Linked DNA regions of Arabidopsis thaliana. The protein of the gene in region 1 interacts with the protein of each later gene in a biochemical or structural test. Each region holds a gene or a part of one and is shown in the gene's direction. Other genes may lie near its edges.

Region 1 (6,483 bases):
TTTCTTGGATTTTTTTGTGGGTTCATTTTGGTAGTTCGGGTATATAGTTCACTTTAACATGACTTGCAAGATAATGCGCTACTGAAAATGTCGTTATGACATGATAATTATAAATTCTGTGCAAAGTTGATTATTACTTACTAGCATAAAGGCTTAAAACCAAAATTGACTCTTGAATTTATTTCATTACACCGGATGCAAAAGATAAAAGTTAGCGGGTCCATACGTTCTTACACATGTATCATTTATAATTAATAATCTAATAATCGAAAATCCATTTTAGTAGAAAACAAAACAAAACAGAAAATCGAAAATTCAAACAAGTGACAAAAATAATATTACGACCCGTCCCTTTGTTTGGTTGCCCCGTTCGTGTATTTGCTTGGCCGTTGGTGTTCCCATGCGCCACTTAGCCTCCAAAGTCTTCTCTCTAAACTCCTTTTTTATACCATAATCTCTGTTTAGTTTATACTTAATTGCGCTTTATCTTCTTAATCGTCATGTAATCCATAAAAATCTTCGAGATATTTACTTTCTCGACTTAATTAATTAATACAATTTCTCTATATTAAACTAGTCAACAATATGCTCAATATCATATCATACATATATGTTTTAGCCCACAGGATTCTCACTCTCCATTTTCTTATTATTACACTGACGTCTAATTTGACGTTGATTTTAAGAAATTGAAGTCAATATAGACAAAATCTATCTGTGAATATGCTGATTAATACCCTTTTATGTAATATGTATGTACACGTGATGTACTTTTAATCTTGAGTCATACATCTATGATATTTTGCATTCATTAACATACAATTTCCCAAAACTATGAGCAAGTTTACGTGTTACTTTTGTCTTTAATCATCATTCAATATTATCGAAAAGTTCGTTGCCATATCATATATTTGTGGAATAAAACTAGGTAATATTGTTCTTGTTTTACATTAACTAATGCATTTTTTTTTGGGGGGCACACATTAACTTATGCATATTCCAAATAAATAAACTATTTTGTCGCCGTGACACATTGATAAAAAAAACATTCTAGTGCTTCGATTGAAAATTCAAGTTTCTCCAAAATTTACTCTCCGCTGCATCCGCACTTTACAATTGTAAAAGAGAATACCCAGTATTTTGCATAGACAAATCTATTTTTTTTTTTTTTGATGGGTATTTTTTATATCTATGTCGTAAGTACGTTACGTTAGCTAGCTAGAACATTCCCTAGCAAGAACTAGTAGTGAGTGAGGAAGAGAAAAAAGAACTCAGCATTGCTTATACAAGAGTCCATGTTTGTGGATCCAAGGGAAGGTTTATCTCAGCTTTTTTTCCTCAAGAGAAAGGTGTATCTTGCCCGTGGTTACTCGATTGTTGTTCGTATTCAATTTATTAAATTTTATAGCTTCAAGGGAAGGCATGTGTTTCTTCTTTTTTAAGTGCAATATTTTTGTTTATTACATAAAGTACTTCCTGGAAGTTTCGTATAGACTCCAATAGGGTTTCTCTGACTTTTCCAATTTCAGTGTCGGAGTACATTAACTCTAAAGAAATAAACATGCATGAACATGCTTTTTCATATTCTACATATATTTTGCAGTCTATAATTGGTTTTTCCACTGTGGTTTACGCTAAAATAAATAATATGTTCTTGTTAAATGGCCACAAACAATTCCGACACCATAAATGTGAAACTTTTAACAAAACTATATTATCAATAACTAGCTAAATTATGATCAAGACCAGTAAACATTTCAACACTTAACGTAAAGAAATGAATTGGCTATTGACGATATAATTTTTTTCCATAGAAAACTATGCATATGTTTGTCACAATTTTTTTCTTTCTTTGTATTAAAGTTAAGTGTTGAGTGAGAGAGGTATCATAATCATAGTACCCTCCCACGATATTGCCCACGGATCGAATCCTTAGACCCGCATTTTATTTTTAACTTCATATCGCATTAGTATTTAAAAGCAAATATATATATCCTATGAAATAAAAATCTCCCGCCTTAAAGGCCAAACCTTAGGATCTAGGTAGGTGGGTCCCTCTACTCAGCGACCACACAAACTCACATTTGTCAATTTCTCCTCTCTCTTAATTTATTAATTATTTTATTTACTCATCTCTGTAACGCCCCCTATAAATACAACCTCTCATTTACTCATTCAGAAACCAAAAAATTTCACAAACCAAACCAAAACCAAAAAAATAGCTTATCTCTCTCTTATCACCGGTTCAATCACTAAACCATGGCGACCTCCGTCGATAACCGCCATTATCCCACCATGAACGGCGTCGCTCACGCCTTCAAACCTCCTCTCGTTCCTTCTCCTCGCTCATTCGACCGCCACCGTCACCAAAACCAAACTCTCGACGTCATCCTCACCGAAACTAAAATCGTCAAAGAAACCGAAGTCATCACCACCGTCGTAGACAGTTACGACGACTCCTCAAGCGACGACGAAGACGAGAGCCATAACCGTAACGTCCCTTACTACAAAGAGCTGGTTAAAAAATCAAACAGCGATTTAGAACCGTCGATTTTAGATCCGAGAGATGAATCAACGGCTGATAGTTGGATTCAACGTAACTCATCCATGCTCCGTCTCACCGGAAAACATCCATTCAACGCCGAAGCACCTCTTCCTCGTCTTATGCACCATGGATTCATCACTCCAGTTCCACTCCATTACGTCCGCAACCACGGTGCAGTTCCCAAAGCGAATTGGTCAGACTGGTCAATCGAAATTACCGGACTCGTTAAACGTCCGGCTAAATTCACCATGGAAGAGCTAATCTCCGAGTTCCCCAGCCGCGAATTCCCGGTGACACTCGTCTGCGCCGGTAATCGCCGCAAGGAACAGAACATGGTGAAACAAACGATCGGATTCAATTGGGGATCCGCCGGAGTATCTACTTCTCTATGGAAAGGTATTCCGTTAAGCGAAATCCTCCGTCGATGCGGGATCTATAGCCGGAGAGGAGGCGCGTTAAACGTTTGCTTCGAAGGAGCGGAGGATCTTCCCGGCGGCGGCGGATCTAAATACGGAACAAGTATTAAGAAGGAGATGGCGATGGATCCGGCTAGAGATATTATCTTAGCTTATATGCAAAACGGCGAGCTTTTAACGCCGGATCATGGGTTTCCGGTTCGGGTCATTGTACCGGGTTTCATCGGTGGTCGGATGGTTAAATGGTTAAAGAGAATCATCGTCACGCCTCAAGAATCTGACAGTTACTATCACTATAAAGACAATCGAGTCCTTCCTTCTCTCGTTGATGCTGAGCTGGCAAATTCCGAAGGTAAACTATTAACTTACCCTTGTCTTCTTTTACATTTTAGTTACCGATGCTAATATTATTTACTTGTTTTTGTTACAGCTTGGTGGTATAAGCCTGAATACATAATCAACGAGCTTAATATAAACTCGGTGATTACAACACCTGGTCACGCAGAGATTTTACCGATTAATGCATTCACTACTCAGAAGCCGTACACATTAAAAGGCTACGCTTATTCTGGTAATTTATTTTAACTTTGCTTTAGTTAAAAGTTAAAAGGATTCTTTACTATGTAATTAAAATCCTGATCGGTGTATTGATGAAATAAACAGGAGGAGGTAAGAAGGTAACGAGGGTTGAGGTGACTCTAGACGGAGGAGACACGTGGAGTGTTTGTGAGCTTGACCACCAGGAGAAACCGAACAAGTACGGTAAATTCTGGTGCTGGTGTTTCTGGTCACTTGACGTTGAGGTTCTTGATCTGCTCAGTGCTAAAGACGTCGCGGTTCGAGCCTGGGACGAGTCTTTCAATACTCAGCCTGATAAACTCATCTGGAACCTCATGGTAATAATCCTCTCTCTTGATATTTTTAAATTATAGAATTAATTAGTTTACTTTATTCTTTACTATATGATTTAAATAGTTTAATCTTGTTTTTGAGTAAACTATTCGATTTTGATATTTGTATTCGTCCTACAAAGTTGGAACTACTGATGATATTTTCTTTTGAACGTGATACCTACCAATACTAATCTTACGGAATCTTTTAATAGAGCACTAATCAACATGGAACTAAAGACCAATTCTTTAAGTGTCTCTGTTGTACAGTTCATTTTAGTAGTGCGTTTAAGTATTATAATCTCCCTTCATGCGGGGCAATTATGTAGATTAAAATCGAAATTATATAAAATTTACATAAGTCTAAGTCTAGGGTCTCCAGCTAATTGTTATTTTTTTAACGATGTTGACTAAAGCAATAACGACGTTGACTTGTGTTAAACAGGGGATGATGAACAATTGCTGGTTCAGGATTAGGACCAACGTGTGCAAGCCTCATAGAGGAGAGATAGGGATAGTTTTCGAACACCCGACCAGACCCGGAAACCAGTCGGGTGGGTGGATGGCAAAGGAGCGTCAGCTTGAGATTTCCTCAGAATCCAACAATACCTTGAAGAAATCTGTCTCATCTCCTTTCATGAACACTGCCTCGAAGATGTATTCAATCTCTGAAGTTAGAAAACACAACACTGCTGACTCTGCATGGATCATCGTCCACGGTCACATCTATGACTGTACACGTTTCTTGAAAGATCATCCAGGAGGCACAGATTCTATCCTGATAAACGCAGGTACAGATTGCACCGAAGAGTTTGAAGCCATTCACTCTGACAAAGCCAAGAAGCTTTTGGAAGATTACCGTATCGGTGAACTCATCACCACTGGCTACGACTCTTCCCCTAACGTCTCAGTTCATGGTGCCTCAAACTTTGGTCCTTTGTTAGCTCCAATCAAAGAGCTAACTCCTCAAAAGAACATTGCTTTGGTCAACCCACGTGAGAAAATCCCGGTTAGGCTCATTGAGAAGACTTCGATCTCGCACGACGTTCGTAAGTTCCGATTCGCATTACCATCAGAAGATCAACAGCTTGGTTTACCCGTGGGGAAGCACGTTTTCGTTTGCGCCAACATAAACGACAAACTCTGTCTCAGAGCTTATACTCCCACCAGCGCCATCGACGCGGTTGGTCATATCGACCTCGTCGTCAAAGTTTACTTCAAAGACGTTCATCCAAGGTTTCCCAATGGTGGACTCATGTCTCAACACTTAGACTCGTTACCAATCGGGTCAATGATAGATATCAAAGGTCCACTAGGGCACATCGAGTACAAAGGCAAAGGCAACTTCCTGGTCAGCGGCAAACCTAAGTTTGCCAAGAAACTAGCAATGCTCGCCGGAGGAACAGGCATCACTCCTATCTACCAGATCATTCAATCTATATTGAGTGATCCAGAGGACGAAACCGAGATGTATGTGGTTTACGCAAACAGAACCGAGGATGACATTCTTGTGAGGGAAGAGCTAGAAGGATGGGCTAGTAAGCATAAGGAGAGGCTAAAGATTTGGTACGTCGTTGAAATCGCAAAGGAAGGTTGGAGTTACAGTACCGGGTTTATAACTGAAGCTGTGCTTAGGGAACATATCCCTGAAGGTTTGGAAGGCGAATCGCTAGCACTCGCATGCGGACCACCGCCTATGATTCAGTTTGCGTTGCAGCCAAATCTAGAGAAGATGGGTTACAACGTGAAGGAGGATCTCTTAATCTTCTAGATTTGCTCAAGTTCTGTGCTATTGGAAATTCGAAAGTTGATAACAAGTATCGCTTATGTGTGTATATACATGGTTATTTGGGCACTTTTGTTATAGTTGTTGTTTATCAGAGCTCCAAATTGTATATTGTATAAAATTGTGTTTAATTATGATCTATGTTGTTGATGATGATGATGATAAATGATGAACTTATTGTAACTCAAACTTCTTGTGTCTTGATATTATCGTTTTTTTTTTGTTATTGCATGTCAGGACTCATGTCACAACATCTTCTATTTGAGTTATTATGCTTCCATAATGTGTCGTGTCATCTATTACTGGTCGTCTAATAAGTTAGTTATAGTTCACATCAAGTGTTATTCATTTAATCACGCCTGGTAAACGTTTTGTCGTATAAGACTAATAGTTTTAAGTTAGTTACCACTTGTGGTCGTGTTGCTTTCAATCGTCAGTGACAACAAAAAAAGACAAACATGCATGAAAATAAACGTTTAATGCAAAGATACGCATATCATTATGTCAAAGGGAGACGAATGATGCTACAGTATGCGTTCGATACAAAAAATGGAAAAAGATCTAAAATGGATTTTCGTTTCGGCCCCACAAGATTCGTGGTTCATACGCATTTTACAAGTAATAATATTATGGAGAATGGTGATATGTAAAAAACATTGGATCTTTTTTTTTGTCACACAAGACTTTCATAGTGAGTAACGAAAGTTAAAAATGAAGGTATCCATGATTCCATATTTAATTATTAATTATAAAGAGAATTCAAGATCCACAGTGAATAAATAATAAGAACGGATTCGGTGATATTGCAACTATATAATGAAATTGAATACTCTGATTCATCGCTTT
Region 2 (4,571 bases), 220 kb from region 1:
TTGTGAGAGGAGCTATCGCTGCAGTATTTGATATGTGGTGGGAATTTTTAAACATATTACATCAAAAACTTATTGCAAAACAATTATATAAAGGGAAAAGTATGAGAGACATTTAACGAATGTCGTGTTGTGGGGTTTCTTCTACTACATATGTGGTTGATTTCGACCTCGTATAAATTGTTTTTAATACTTATGGTAAATTTAAAGAATTCGGAATCTTAGTGACAAAGGAAATATTTTCGTTATCTTCTGAAATAATAGGATAAAACTGGATTATTGTCTAATGTCAACGAACGAAGATAACACTGAGGAAAAGTGTCTTCGTCAAATCGTTAACGGTTCATCTATCGAAATTCGACCTTATTTAATCGCATTACTCCAAATAGTAAAGATTGGTAAAAAAAATTTATCAACTTAAGGACTAAACGAAACTAAGTACAGAAAACATTTTAGTAGTAACAAAGTTCATGGTTTTATTCTTTAGAGGGATTTGATTGGCTTCCATAAGAGAATGAACTAATGATTGTTTCGTTGGAAGAAGTTTAAAGTAACTTGATCGTTGGTATTTGAGAAGTATTTTATGTATAATCCTAAAGACTTCAACAAAAATAAATAAAATATTATCCTAAAGTTAATTGTCAGAAACTTATAATAAAATTGTAAGATCTTTTGTTGTCGACAGTCGACGACAAATAAGATAATGCGTTTGTTGTTATTATCATAACTTATACCGTAAGTTATCAATATGAATCATATGATTTACAAGATAGACTCATCATAGTCATAGATCACATCGAGACGGAAGTTTTTTTAAGTTAAGAATGAAAAAGAAGGGAAGATAATTAAAATTATTGGCAGGGGAGCCTCGGAGATATCCCACATATGCTCAATTGTTGGGCTTCCAAACCTCTTATTTTATGTTGACTTGAGCATGCACCAACATGCATTAATATAAGTGTCATCGTATAAGTTATTAATGTCACGTCTCATCCGTCAAAAACACACAATTGTCAATCGTCCATATCTCTGCTAGGTATGATCAAACCCGACCACTCGTAAATCCATGTTATGAACTCAGATAATGTTATCTCTGTTAATATTTCTTGAATGTCCCAAAATTTAAGGGGGATGGCAATTAGGGAATGAACACTTCGATATGGTTCAAACCTTACGTTTCGCATCGATTCATGCTCTCGTCCCTATCTCCCCCACACCCAACACGTCGGAGCAAATCATCTGGTGTATTAACACTTTCATGAAGATTGGTCTCTATACAAGTAGAGAATCGTATATAAATAGTCATAGAGATAAGAAAGCTAATTAGATAAGGATCATCATTATCTAAATGACTAATTATAATTAGGAGTTATCTCAATACTTATCAAAAACTTTTGATCTACTTGCGTACGCTATATAGCTAGATTAACCACAAATCTTTTTCGAACATATCCGAATTTTCGCCTTTTTTATATGACGGTTTTTTCTAACGTATGATCTTTAGATATATCATGACTATACGTTCAATGAATACATGTTATTGTATAGTTAATATTTATGCTAGAAAAGTATAGAGTAATCTTATTATTTCATTGAATGTAAAACATAATCATCAAGAAAACTAATGCAAATAAAACAAATTAACAAAAAGGAGTAAGATAGGAAAAAACATAATCATGGATTAGGATAACTGGATAAGCATTGGATTAAGCAAAACGGAAAAAGGAAAAACAAATATTGTAGTATTTTAATAAATTACTTCAGTACAAATACAACCACATAATTAAGAACATAATGATTTTAAAAAGCTCGTAAGAATCGCCTACGTACTTAGTTGAATGTTTGAAGATTTGAAGAATAGACAACCTCCGAAGTATTTAAATTTTGAAAGAAGAAAAAAAAAACCGTTTGAGCAATCACAAAAATGTGAAAGCTGAGTTGGAGAAGAAAGGGTCCATTGGATCCCCTGACATGCTCACAACACACATGTGTCCCTCTGAGCTGTCTCCATTTTTGTTAACCCAACTTGCTTCCATTATTGTATCAATCTCACAACTCCAATTTCTTTTCACAATTAGTAAATAACTATATTAACAAATCTACAAAAAACTAGCCCCTATTTTAACCACTAGACCCAAAATTTTATAATTCCTTAAGGTGCCTATACTAATAGTAGCAAAATCACATTACCAATTATTTTGTTAATTGACCAAATTTTATCCAATAATCACATTACCAATTTTTCTAAAAGTGTATTTATGTTGTTCTTAATTTGAGGTGAAAAAAAATCCCCCTTTAAAAAGCAGGACCGGCCACAAATCCAACGGCCCAGATTAGATCTTGGTTCCAAATTTCACTCTTTTCCTCTAAAACGCATTTATCACTTTCCCTCATTAAACACAAAAACTCATTCATCGTCCTCTCTCGCTTGACCTACAACACCCGATTCTCTAATCGAAACCGTTTCTCTCTTTTTGATCAGATCTCAGATCTTTCCCTCTTTGATTCTTCTTCCTTAGATCGATTCTCTCTAGAAACAACAATGGCGTCTGGGCGTGAAGAGTTCGTATACATGGCTAAGCTCGCGGAGCAAGCGGAGAGGTACGAAGAGATGGTAGAGTTTATGGAGAAAGTCTCCGCCGCCGTTGATGGCGATGAACTCACCGTAGAAGAGCGAAATCTTCTCTCCGTCGCTTATAAGAATGTGATTGGTGCTCGCCGTGCCTCGTGGCGTATCATTTCATCGATCGAGCAGAAGGAAGAGAGCCGTGGTAACGATGACCACGTCACGGCGATCCGTGAATATAGGTCTAAGATCGAGACGGAACTCTCCGGAATCTGCGACGGAATCCTTAAGTTGCTTGACTCTAGACTCATCCCTGCCGCTGCTTCTGGTGATTCCAAGGTCTTTTACCTTAAGATGAAGGGAGATTATCACAGGTACTTGGCTGAGTTTAAGACTGGTCAAGAGAGGAAAGACGCCGCCGAACATACACTCGCCGCTTACAAATCTGCTCAGGTTTGATTCCGAATCTCAGATCTAGTTTATTTGAGTCTAGTGTGTGATCCGTGGATGGTGGTTTGTTAGATTTCCAGTATAATGAGACTTAAATTAGGGATTTGTGTATTCTCGAATAAGATCTTGAGATTGTCTAGGTTTTGAGCTTATAGTCTCTATGTGTAATTATCTGTGCAGGATATTGCTAATGCAGAGCTTGCTCCAACACACCCAATTCGTCTTGGTCTTGCATTGAACTTCTCTGTGTTCTATTACGAGATCCTCAATTCTCCTGATCGTGCCTGTAACCTCGCCAAACAGGTATTTCAATCTACTCATCTTTCAATTATGATAATGTGATTGGACTTGGTTTAACACTTGACCTCATTGGACATAAATTTGACTGGTTTTGTTGTTGTTATGTATCGTCAAGGCCTTTGATGAGGCGATTGCAGAGTTGGACACTCTTGGTGAAGAGTCATACAAAGACAGTACCTTGATCATGCAGCTTCTTCGTGACAATCTCACTCTCTGGACATCTGATATGCAGGTTTGTTCATATAATCCCCGCACCTTTGTTCTTTCTTTGTTTCTGTTATGGATGATTCGCATTCCATTGACTAAATTCTGTAACGGTGGGGATTATATTAGGATGATGCTGCGGATGAGATCAAGGAAGCAGCAGCGCCAAAACCGACCGAGGAACAGCAGTGATCTTTTGAGTGAAACTGCTAGTTTTCTTCTAGGGTTTGGAATTTCTTCTCTTTCTCGTCCATATGTTTTTCTTAATCCATCTAAGAGGTCGCTCTTGCCATTTCGCTCATCTTCAAAAGCTTATTCATTCATCATATTTGTGGCAAGTCTGAACCATCAATCATCTTTTTATCTCTTTTTAATTTATTTTCTCTTTTCTTATTTCTTTGTTGTTATCGATTTCAATGTCTGTGTAATCGAAACTTGCTTTCTTTTCTCATCAATTTGAAGATCATAAAGTCTCTTGTCTCTTATCTTGTTGCGTAGATTGATTGTTTATCAATTTTTAATTTTAAAAGCGGACTAGTTTATTGGACTGCGTAAAGCCAATTACTTTACCTGGTCTGAAATCAATCATCAATTTGATTATATAAAAATAAAAATACATTTCAAAAGAACTATTTAAGCAATAGACACTCGTTAGTCATTTGACACTTTACAGGTTTAAATTAATGATCTCGTCAGAGTTTGAAGTTTCAACTTAAAATGAAAGCATCAGAGCATAAAATTCAACCAAAGGAACAGTGAAGTGTTTGGTATAGCTAATCAACCAATCAAAAATTTAATACCCCATCGAATAGACGATGAAGAAAAAACTCTTGTATGCAATCTGATTTACAAAGAGATGAAATCATAATGGCAAACTTATAAAAATTGAATAGAGTTGCAAAAGTGTATTCCTTTCTTTTTCCTAGTCTTCTTTGTTTCTAACATGAACAAACCATGAAAACAAAAGAAAGTAAAAAAAAAAACGGATTTAAGTAATCTTTGAGTTAATTAACAAAAAAAAAAACAAATGATCCCACCACTCTCCACTAATGAT

What was found.
Region 2: the proteins of NIA1 (region 1) and GRF2 form a complex in vitro, tested with the Arabidopsis thaliana proteins (one study listed by BioGRID).

Annotation. Positions count from the first base shown.
Region 1 is NC_003070.9:29,235,144-29,241,626, reverse strand, and holds NIA1 (nitrate reductase 1), read left to right. Parts: upstream 1-2,142; 5' UTR 2,143-2,259; coding exon 2,260-3,313; intron 3,314-3,391; coding exon 3,392-3,532; intron 3,533-3,624; coding exon 3,625-3,857; intron 3,858-4,296; coding exon 4,297-5,622; 3' UTR 5,623-5,906; downstream 5,907-6,483. UniProt on the Arabidopsis thaliana protein: Nitrate reductase is a key enzyme involved in the first step of nitrate assimilation in plants, fungi and bacteria.
Region 2 is NC_003070.9:29,459,344-29,463,914, forward strand, and holds GRF2 (general regulatory factor 2), read left to right. Parts: upstream 1-2,047; 5' UTR 2,048-2,539; coding exon 2,540-3,016; intron 3,017-3,193; coding exon 3,194-3,316; intron 3,317-3,428; coding exon 3,429-3,545; intron 3,546-3,646; coding exon 3,647-3,709; 3' UTR 3,710-4,046; downstream 4,047-4,571. UniProt on the Arabidopsis thaliana protein: Is associated with a DNA binding complex that binds to the G box, a well-characterized cis-acting DNA regulatory element found in plant genes.